Linked DNA regions of Arabidopsis thaliana. The protein of the gene in region 1 interacts with the protein of each later gene in a pairwise test. Each region holds a gene or a part of one and is shown in the gene's direction. Other genes may lie near its edges.

What was found. The genes of interacting proteins can lie anywhere in the genome.
Region 2: the proteins of LAP5 (region 1) and ACOS5 interact in binary tests that used the Arabidopsis thaliana proteins (3 or more experiments, as listed by UniProt).

What each region holds. Positions count from the first base shown.
Region 1 is NC_003075.7:16,606,253-16,610,336, forward strand, and holds LAP5 (Chalcone and stilbene synthase family protein), read left to right. Parts: upstream 1-1,951; 5' UTR 1,952-2,096; coding exon 2,097-2,280; exon of another isoform or gene 2,281-2,384; coding exon 2,385-2,951; intron 2,952-3,040; coding exon 3,041-3,468; 3' UTR 3,469-3,577; downstream 3,578-4,084. Other genes in the region: AT4G34840 (Phosphorylase superfamily protein), read left to right, coding at 47-107, 181-244, 312-403, 492-598, 698-772, 904-978, 1,096-1,188, 1,299-1,496; A/N-InvB (Plant neutral invertase family protein), read right to left, coding at 3,703-3,998. UniProt on the Arabidopsis thaliana protein: Plant type III polyketide synthases (PKSs) that catalyzes the condensation of malonyl-CoA units with various CoA ester starter molecules to generate a diverse array of natural products including long-chain alkyl alpha-pyrones.
Region 2 is NC_003070.9:23,308,589-23,313,298, forward strand, and holds ACOS5 (acyl-CoA synthetase 5), read left to right. Parts: upstream 1-1,943; 5' UTR 1,944-1,965; coding exon 1,966-2,049; intron 2,050-2,163; coding exon 2,164-2,493; intron 2,494-2,701; coding exon 2,702-3,280; intron 3,281-3,368; coding exon 3,369-3,713; intron 3,714-3,797; coding exon 3,798-3,865; intron 3,866-3,936; coding exon 3,937-4,159; 3' UTR 4,160-4,207; downstream 4,208-4,710. Other genes in the region: AT1G62935 (uncharacterized protein), read right to left, coding at 292-822. UniProt on the Arabidopsis thaliana protein: Carboxylate--CoA ligase that may use 4-coumarate as substrate.

The sequences.
Region 1 (4,084 bases):
AATTTGATCTTGACGAATCGCCGGCGACGGATTCTCAGACGCTGCTATGGAAGGTGTTATGGGTCAGGTAGAGAAACGGCCGATTTCTACCATCGTCTTCATCGTTGGTACTATTTTGTCTTTACTATTTCTCGAATTGTGATTTTTTTTTCTTCTTCTAATGGGTTTGTGTATTAAAAGCTATGCAAAAGGAAGCTCAGCCTCTGATCAACAGATTACGCCTCGTTGAAGAAGTTAATACTCCGTGAGTTCTTTGACCTCTTTCAATTTTTTATTTTGATTCGAAATCAAATGTGATAGCTTTTTTGTAGGTTTCCAAAAGAGGTGACTTGGATTATGTTTAAGGGAATGTATAAAGACTTGAACATCAATATAGTGTGTCCTGGAAAAGATTCAACTCTTGGTATGTGTATCCATGTGGTTAAGTGATTGTAAGTGAAATAGTGTTTCAAGATGTTTTGTGAAGTTCTTGATGTTAATTCGTTTTTCAGGGGTTGAGAGTGTTGGCACAGTTCCTGCATCACTCGTGACTTATGCTTCCATTCTAGCAATTCAACCAGACTTAATCATTAATGCGGGAACCGCTGGTGGCTTTAAGGTATCAACATTACAAATTTCTCTACATAGTTCTCGTTTCATGCCTCTTATGTGTCAGAAATAATGAACACCCTTCCTTGTTTTTAAATGGTCTTTTCAGGCCAAAGGAGCATGTATTAGCGATGTTTATGTTGTCTCTACTGTTGCTTTCCATGACAGAAGAATACCTGTTCCTGTAAGTGCTCCTTTGTATTGTTCATGTATCAGTATGAGTTGCAAAGTAAACCTGATGTTCTTGAGTGTTATACTTGCATTCTAATTCCATATATTTTTGCCCTTTCCTAAACATTTTTATACTTTCTGCAGGTCCTTGATATATATGGTGTTGGTATGCGGAACACCTTCCCCACACCCAACCTTATAAAGGAGCTGAACCTAAAGGTGTATACTTTATTAGTTGCTCTGAGTTCACCATTTGATCCTCATGCAAGATTTTGGTTATTTCTTGATATGGTTTGCATAAGTGGTAGATTTATGATTTAGTTGCAATGTTCCCAGGTGGGAAGATTATCCACTGGCGATTCTATGGATATGTCTCCACATGACGAAGAATCCATCACAGCAAATGATGCTACAGTTAAAGATATGGAGGTCAACAATCCATAAGTTTCCTGTGTTGATGTACCTGGCTCCATACTATGTGTTTGTCTTTGTGTCTTTATCAGTTACTACGACTTATTTACGGATTCTTGGCATTTCAGGGAGCAGCAGTGGCCTATGTGGCTGATATCTTTAAAGTGCCTACGATTCTAATAAAAGGTGTGACTGATATTGTGGATGGCAATAGACCAACTTCTGAAGAATTTTTGGAGAACTTAGCTGCAGTCACTGCCAAACTTGATGAGTCACTTACCAAAGTGATTGACTTCATCAGTGGGAAATGTCTCTCAGACCTCTAACAAGTCATACGTATTAAGTTTCATCTGTTCAGTATGTGCATTGGGCGAAGAAAGCATATGAAGATTCAAGCAAAGGGCGTAGGTAGGGAATAGGTTTGAGCAGAAATTTCAACTCTTCACCTTTTCTCATTTGTTCCTCTATTTCTTTTTGCTGTCTTTCTATTGATGATCCATCATACATGTAGAAACTCAGCAAATTTGATACCCAACAACAGAGTCATAATTCTTTAATATCAATTTCGAATGATTGATGTTAACAGAAGAAAAAATTTAGTTAGTTTCTCTTTCATTCTTTTTAAGTGTGAAGATGTACAAAACAACTATAACTATAACACACCTTTGTGTTGGCTTTTAACTAAGCCTAAAGACTATGTATCAAGAAAAAAATCTCAAAGAACTGGAGTTGGATTTTAGAAAGAGCCAATGCAATAAACATGAAGCTTCTAAATCTCACACCTACTCTTCACCAAATATCAACTAGACAGAAATACCGCACAATATGCAGGTCACAAAACTGCAAAAGCTGCAGTGTATATATATGCCTTCACTTTGAACCTTATTTACAGACCCAAGATTTGAGTCTTCAACAAACAGATACAAATGGGAAGCATCGATGCTGCAGTGTTGGGTTCAGAGAAGAAATCAAACCCGGGAAAAGCCACAATTCTTGCTCTGGGAAAAGCCTTTCCTCACCAGCTAGTAATGCAAGAGTACTTAGTCGATGGCTACTTCAAAACCACCAAGTGTGATGACCCTGAACTCAAACAGAAACTTACTCGTCTCTGTAATCTCTTCATTTTAACCTCTGTTTTCAACTTTTTATCTCATTCTGTAAGCTCCTGCAACAGCAACTGAGGTTTGTTTGAACTGTTCGTTTACTATATACAGGCAAGACAACAACGGTGAAGACAAGGTATGTTGTGATGTCAGAGGAGATTCTCAAGAAGTACCCAGAACTTGCCATTGAAGGAGGATCCACAGTGACGCAGCGTCTAGACATCTGCAACGATGCAGTGACCGAGATGGCAGTAGAAGCCTCCAGAGCCTGCATCAAGAACTGGGGACGTTCTATTTCCGACATAACTCACGTTGTCTATGTCTCCTCAAGCGAAGCTCGTCTTCCTGGTGGGGACTTGTACCTGGCCAAGGGGCTTGGACTCAGTCCTGACACACACCGTGTTCTGCTCTACTTTGTTGGCTGTTCTGGTGGCGTTGCAGGTCTCCGTGTAGCCAAAGACATCGCCGAGAATAATCCGGGCAGTAGAGTTTTGCTTGCCACGTCTGAGACAACCATCATTGGGTTCAAGCCCCCAAGTGTGGATAGACCGTATGATCTTGTTGGGGTCGCGTTGTTTGGTGATGGAGCCGGAGCTATGATCATTGGATCCGATCCAGACCCGATCTGCGAGAAGCCTCTCTTTGAGCTTCATACTGCAATACAGAACTTTTTACCTGGTAAAAGACCACAAGATTTATGCATCCAGTTATGTCTATACCTTGAGACTATTCTTGGATAAATATGGATTTTCATTTTCATGGCGCAGAAACAGAGAAGACGATAGATGGAAGGCTAACAGAACAAGGGATAAACTTCAAGCTATCGAGAGAGCTTCCACAGATAATAGAAGACAATGTGGAGAATTTCTGCAAGAAGCTAATAGGAAAAGCGGGACTGGCTCATAAGAACTATAACCAGATGTTCTGGGCGGTTCATCCAGGTGGACCAGCCATCTTGAACCGGATTGAAAAGCGGCTTAACCTGTCGCCTGAGAAGCTGAGTCCAAGCAGAAGAGCTCTCATGGACTATGGCAATGCGAGCAGCAATTCAATTGTTTATGTGCTGGAGTATATGTTGGAGGAGAGCAAGAAAGTGAGGAACATGAATGAAGAAGAAAACGAGTGGGGTCTGATTCTTGCTTTTGGACCTGGTGTTACATTTGAAGGCATTATCGCTCGAAACCTTGATGTCTGAACAATAAGTTTTTACCTTGCAGATCGAGAAAGAACCCCTTATGCTTTAATAAAGACATGAAGCTAAACATACGAAATATTTTTTACGATGCTTAAATCTTTCATAGTCTAAAAATATTTCACAAAGCAAGCAACGTAAAATTTGCAATTGAAAAATGAAGAAAAGAGTCGTTATCAGCATTAAAGCCAGGAATCACGAAGAAGGTTCTTCTTAGCTCATCTCTTTCCAACGTTTTCAACAAGTCCAGGAGTTGGATCTTCTCATAACGGGTTTCATCTGTTTGTCTTCCTCAAGACAAACCATACCAACATGTGACGGATCTTCCAGCATCATCTTGGCTACTAAGTATCCTGCGACTGACCAAGTCTGGTTTTTACGCGACTGTTTCCCCACGTATCTCCCTACCTTTCCATCATAGTATTCAGGCCAGTGGTCCTTATGAAGCCTAGCCTCTGCTACTTCAATTGCTCGTCTTGCTATTTGAGGTCGACCAGTTTTGATACAAGCAGCCGTCAGAAGCCATAGCAGCACTGTGTACCATTAAACATAATTACATCAATAAGGGTCAGAATAGCAATTTACTAGGATTAAGATACCACAGAGGAACCAGAAGAAC
Region 2 (4,710 bases), on another chromosome or scaffold:
GACTGGTACAGTTCTCTGCAGTCAGTATGTTCTCATGTTGATATAGATTTGTTTCTTGTCTAATCGATGATTTATCACCTGAATAGTATTCTTCCAGATTGGTTAAGTTCATACGTTCAAAGAAATTTAAAGACCACGCTCCTTATTCGACTGATTGATCGATGAAATAGCAGATCCATCAGTCATAAACGGCGCTGAAGAAACACATTAACACACCAAATTTATGTACCACACGACAACAATTTCTTCATATGTACAGACTACAGAGAGAAAAACAGAGTTTTGAAAAGATCAGACAAACAATTTGTCGGTTCGTCTCTCTTCTCTCCATCCATTGTAAACGTTTGCAATGTAATCTTCAATCCTGCTCGTCAATGTGTCATCATCAACATCATCACCATAGGCATGATTATCATCATCATCACGGTTTTCAATACCATCATCACCACCATCTTGATTACATTGGCTAAAATCTTCATCATCGTTCCATATACAACCATCATTATCAACTTCATCAAAACCATCATAATAGCTAAAACAATCATCATAGTAATATCTTGTGAAATCACAACATTCTCTGTTCTTGTCTATGATTTCACCATCAAGCATATTGTCTTCTTGAAAAGTGTACAAAACATAGAAATCTCCGGTTTCTTCATAAACAGAGCGATTACGATCGATGATAAGTAAGAAAAGAATCGTACAGAGGAAAAAGAAAAGAAGAAGAGGATTGTTGAAATATCTCAAGAAGAAAAAGAGCATTAGTGTTGAAACAATTGTTCTCCAGATGATCTCCATGACATTGATTATAATGTTCAACATCTTCATCTGGACTCTATCTATATCAATAAAAGAGTAACTTTCCGGGAAAAAACCATGAATTCTGCTGAGATAATGAGTGGAAAAAGTCTGTTGTGTGAAGTTATTGTAAAACTTAACATATATAAAATAAAGGTTTTAATATTCTAAGGATGTGTTGTACACATGTCTGTTTCTTGCTGCGCAAGTTCTAAGAATTTGTGTATGTGTACCTTTAGTATTAATATATATGTTCTTGAGAGAGAAGTTTACGATTCTTGAAGTGGGACACAATGAGTTTTTAAGTTATGATTGTAACAAGTATGTCATTTATCTCATTTTAAAAGTATGTTTTTCTAATATTTAAATCTATATATGTAGATGAGAATATAAAAAATATGGTGTAGTTTAATTTAAGGTTTTTGTGATCCTTACTCTAAGATCATCAAAGTATGAACATGCCAATAACAATAATAATTCGTATTGAAGAACTTTGCACAACCTATTTATAGGACCTAAACCCTTAAATCCCCACCATTGTATAAAATCTTCCAAATCAAGAATAAAGTAAGATTCAAAATTCTAATCATACCACATTTTCTACGTACATTTCATCTAGATCAAACCTTTTCTACCATGCATCTCCAAAGGAATTGAATCCTTAAGCCAACTCACGTGAAATCGAATAATCCATTCTCGCTTCTAAGTTGAGAAAATCCAATATTTCACGTTCTAGAATCATGACGTACGCGTGACATTTAGAAATGAGACCTTAACCTTTTAAAAGTCATTGATAAAACATTACAATATAGTTTCTTTTATAAGTAGTACAAGAAAACTTTGTATTTATAATCTCGGTAATATGATCGTAGTAGAGAATGTTTAAGAAAGAATACATTAATTTGTATGAACAAAATACTTTTGAAGATGTTTTTTTATTGGACTCCATAAATAATAAATTCAGATATTTTCACATCATTTCCATGACTCAACAAAACTCTACCTACAATATGTCTAAGAGAGTCAAAGACTATCATCCTCTTCTATAACCAAAAATTGGTTTGCACACACATGACATGACATGAACAAGAAACTACTCTCCTATTTATATTCACTCTAGAGCCGGCCCTGTTCCTAACACATAAATCAAATTCAATTCGTTTAAAAATGGAGAGTCAAAAGCAAGAAGATAATGAATACATTTTCCGCAGTTTGTATCCATCTGTGCCCATTCCTGACAAACTTACACTGGTAATTAATATAGCTAAGAACAGTTTTTCATTTCCGGTTTCGGTTTATTATAATTTAGGTTAAGATTCGGTTTATAAATACTAATGGAATTAACTAATGGCTATGTGAAAAAAGCCTGAATTTGTGCTCCAAGGAGTTGAAGAATACACAGAGAATGTAGCGTTTGTAGAAGCGGTGACCGGAAAAGCTGTGACGTACGGTGATGTAGTGAGGGACACAAAGAGGCTAGCCAAAGCGTTGACATCTCTCGGACTAAGGAAAGGTCAAGTGATGGTTGTGGTCCTACCAAACGTCGCCGAGTATGGGATTATTGCCCTTGGTATTATGTCTGCCGGTGGAGTCTTCTCCGGTGCAAATCCGACGGCTCTTGTTTCCGAGATCAAGAAGCAAGTTGAAGCTTCCGGTGCTAGAGGAATCATCACTGATGCTACTAACTATGAAAAGGTAATTAAACATTACTGTTTTCTATATGATTTGGAAAACTTTTTAACCAGCAAATGTATGCACATGATAATTTCGTTCGGTTTGGTTGCTGCAATATATGGTATAGACTAAAAACCAAACCGACATAATTCCACAGCCAAGCTGAACTAAACCAACCAATCACCAAACTCGATTTATTTGTGAAACATTTACTGTTTGTTTTGGACAGGTGAAATCACTAGGTTTACCGGTGATAGTGTTAGGTGAAGAGAAGATAGAAGGAGCAGTAAACTGGAAAGATCTTCTAGAAGCAGGAGACAAATGCGGAGATACCGACAATGAAGAGATTCTTCAGACAGATCTTTGTGCACTTCCTTTTTCTTCAGGAACAACAGGATTACAAAAAGGAGTAATGCTCACACATCGCAATCTCATAGCCAATCTTTGCTCTACTCTCTTCGGTGTCAGGTCTGAAATGATCGGTCAGATCGTGACGCTTGGTTTGATCCCATTCTTTCATATTTACGGTATCGTTGGCATATGTTGTGCTACAATGAAGAATAAAGGCAAAGTTGTTGCTATGAGTCGGTACGATCTAAGGATTTTCTTGAATGCTTTGATTGCTCATGAGGTTTCGTTTGCGCCTATAGTTCCGCCGATTATATTGAATCTTGTTAAGAATCCGATAGTTGATGAGTTTGATCTTTCGAAGCTTAAACTTCAGTCTGTCATGACTGCTGCTGCTCCTTTAGCTCCTGAGCTTCTTACTGCCTTCGAAGCCAAGTTTCCTAATGTCCAAGTCCAAGAGGTAAGACTTAAGACTTTTATGTTAGTTATTACCTTATTATTCATGTTCAATGATGTTTTGATTGGTTATATATATATATATATATTAGGCTTATGGATTAACGGAGCATAGTTGCATTACGTTAACTCACGGAGATCCAGAGAAAGGACAAGGAATCGCGAAACGAAACTCGGTTGGTTTCATACTTCCGAATCTCGAGGTAAAGTTCATAGATCCTGACACCGGTAGATCACTCCCGAAGAACACTTCTGGTGAGCTATGTGTGAGGAGCCAATGTGTAATGCAAGGTTACTTCATGAACAAGGAAGAGACTGACAAGACAATTGATGAACAAGGTTGGCTTCACACAGGAGACATAGGTTACATCGATGATGATGGAGACATCTTCATCGTTGATCGTATCAAAGAACTTATTAAATACAAAGGTTTTCAGGTAAAATGTTTATACCAAAGATTAAACATAATTCTTCCTTGTTTCATATTGGCCGGATTTTCAAAGTTGAAGCTTTTCCAATAGGTTGCTCCGGCCGAGCTTGAAGCTATTCTACTCACTCATCCATCCGTTGAAGACGTTGCCGTCGTGCCGTGAGTATCTATATAAATATATTGCCCTAATGATTTCTTGAAACTGATATATTAAAACATGAAATGAAAAGGTTACCGGACGAGGAAGCCGGGGAGATTCCGGCGGCTTGCGTGGTGATAAATCCGAAAGCGACAGAAAAGGAAGAAGACATTCTCAACTTTGTTGCAGCAAATGTGGCTCATTACAAGAAGGTTAGAGCCGTCCATTTTGTGGATTCAATCCCTAAATCTCTCTCTGGTAAAATCATGAGGAGGCTTCTTAGAGACAAGATCCTCAGCATCAACAAGAAGTAGAAGAAAGAAAACTCTTACAAGCTTTTAATTAATCTACTTTGATTTAAGAATGTCCTTGAACAATAAATACTCTTTGTGGTTTTTATTATTGCTCCTTGATTAGGAAATTCTACAGTTCAATTCTGCACCGCGCAACAACTAAAAAGATTAAACTATCTCCTCGAAAGATTTTAATCAAAACATTGATATAACTCACGGAACAACAATTTTAAACCGCAAAAACACGCTGCTTTCTCATGCTGTAAAAAGTTATACTGTAGAATTAGATATTGAACTGACTTACTTTCATTAATTCGCAAACTATGAGTATTTATTCACAATGAACTCAACAAGATATAAACACAAACTCCTAAAATATAGGACATAAACTCTATCACCAAAGATATCGTACTAATCTAATTCTCAATTTTTAATCTTCATAGTTCCTTATTATATAACCAAGATAATAGTTGTCTAGTTGAAACTTGAAATAGCTCAAGGATGGAGAATTTATCGTCTTTCACTTTACTTTTCTTTTATTCAACTTTCTCACTTTCTCCAATGTATAACTA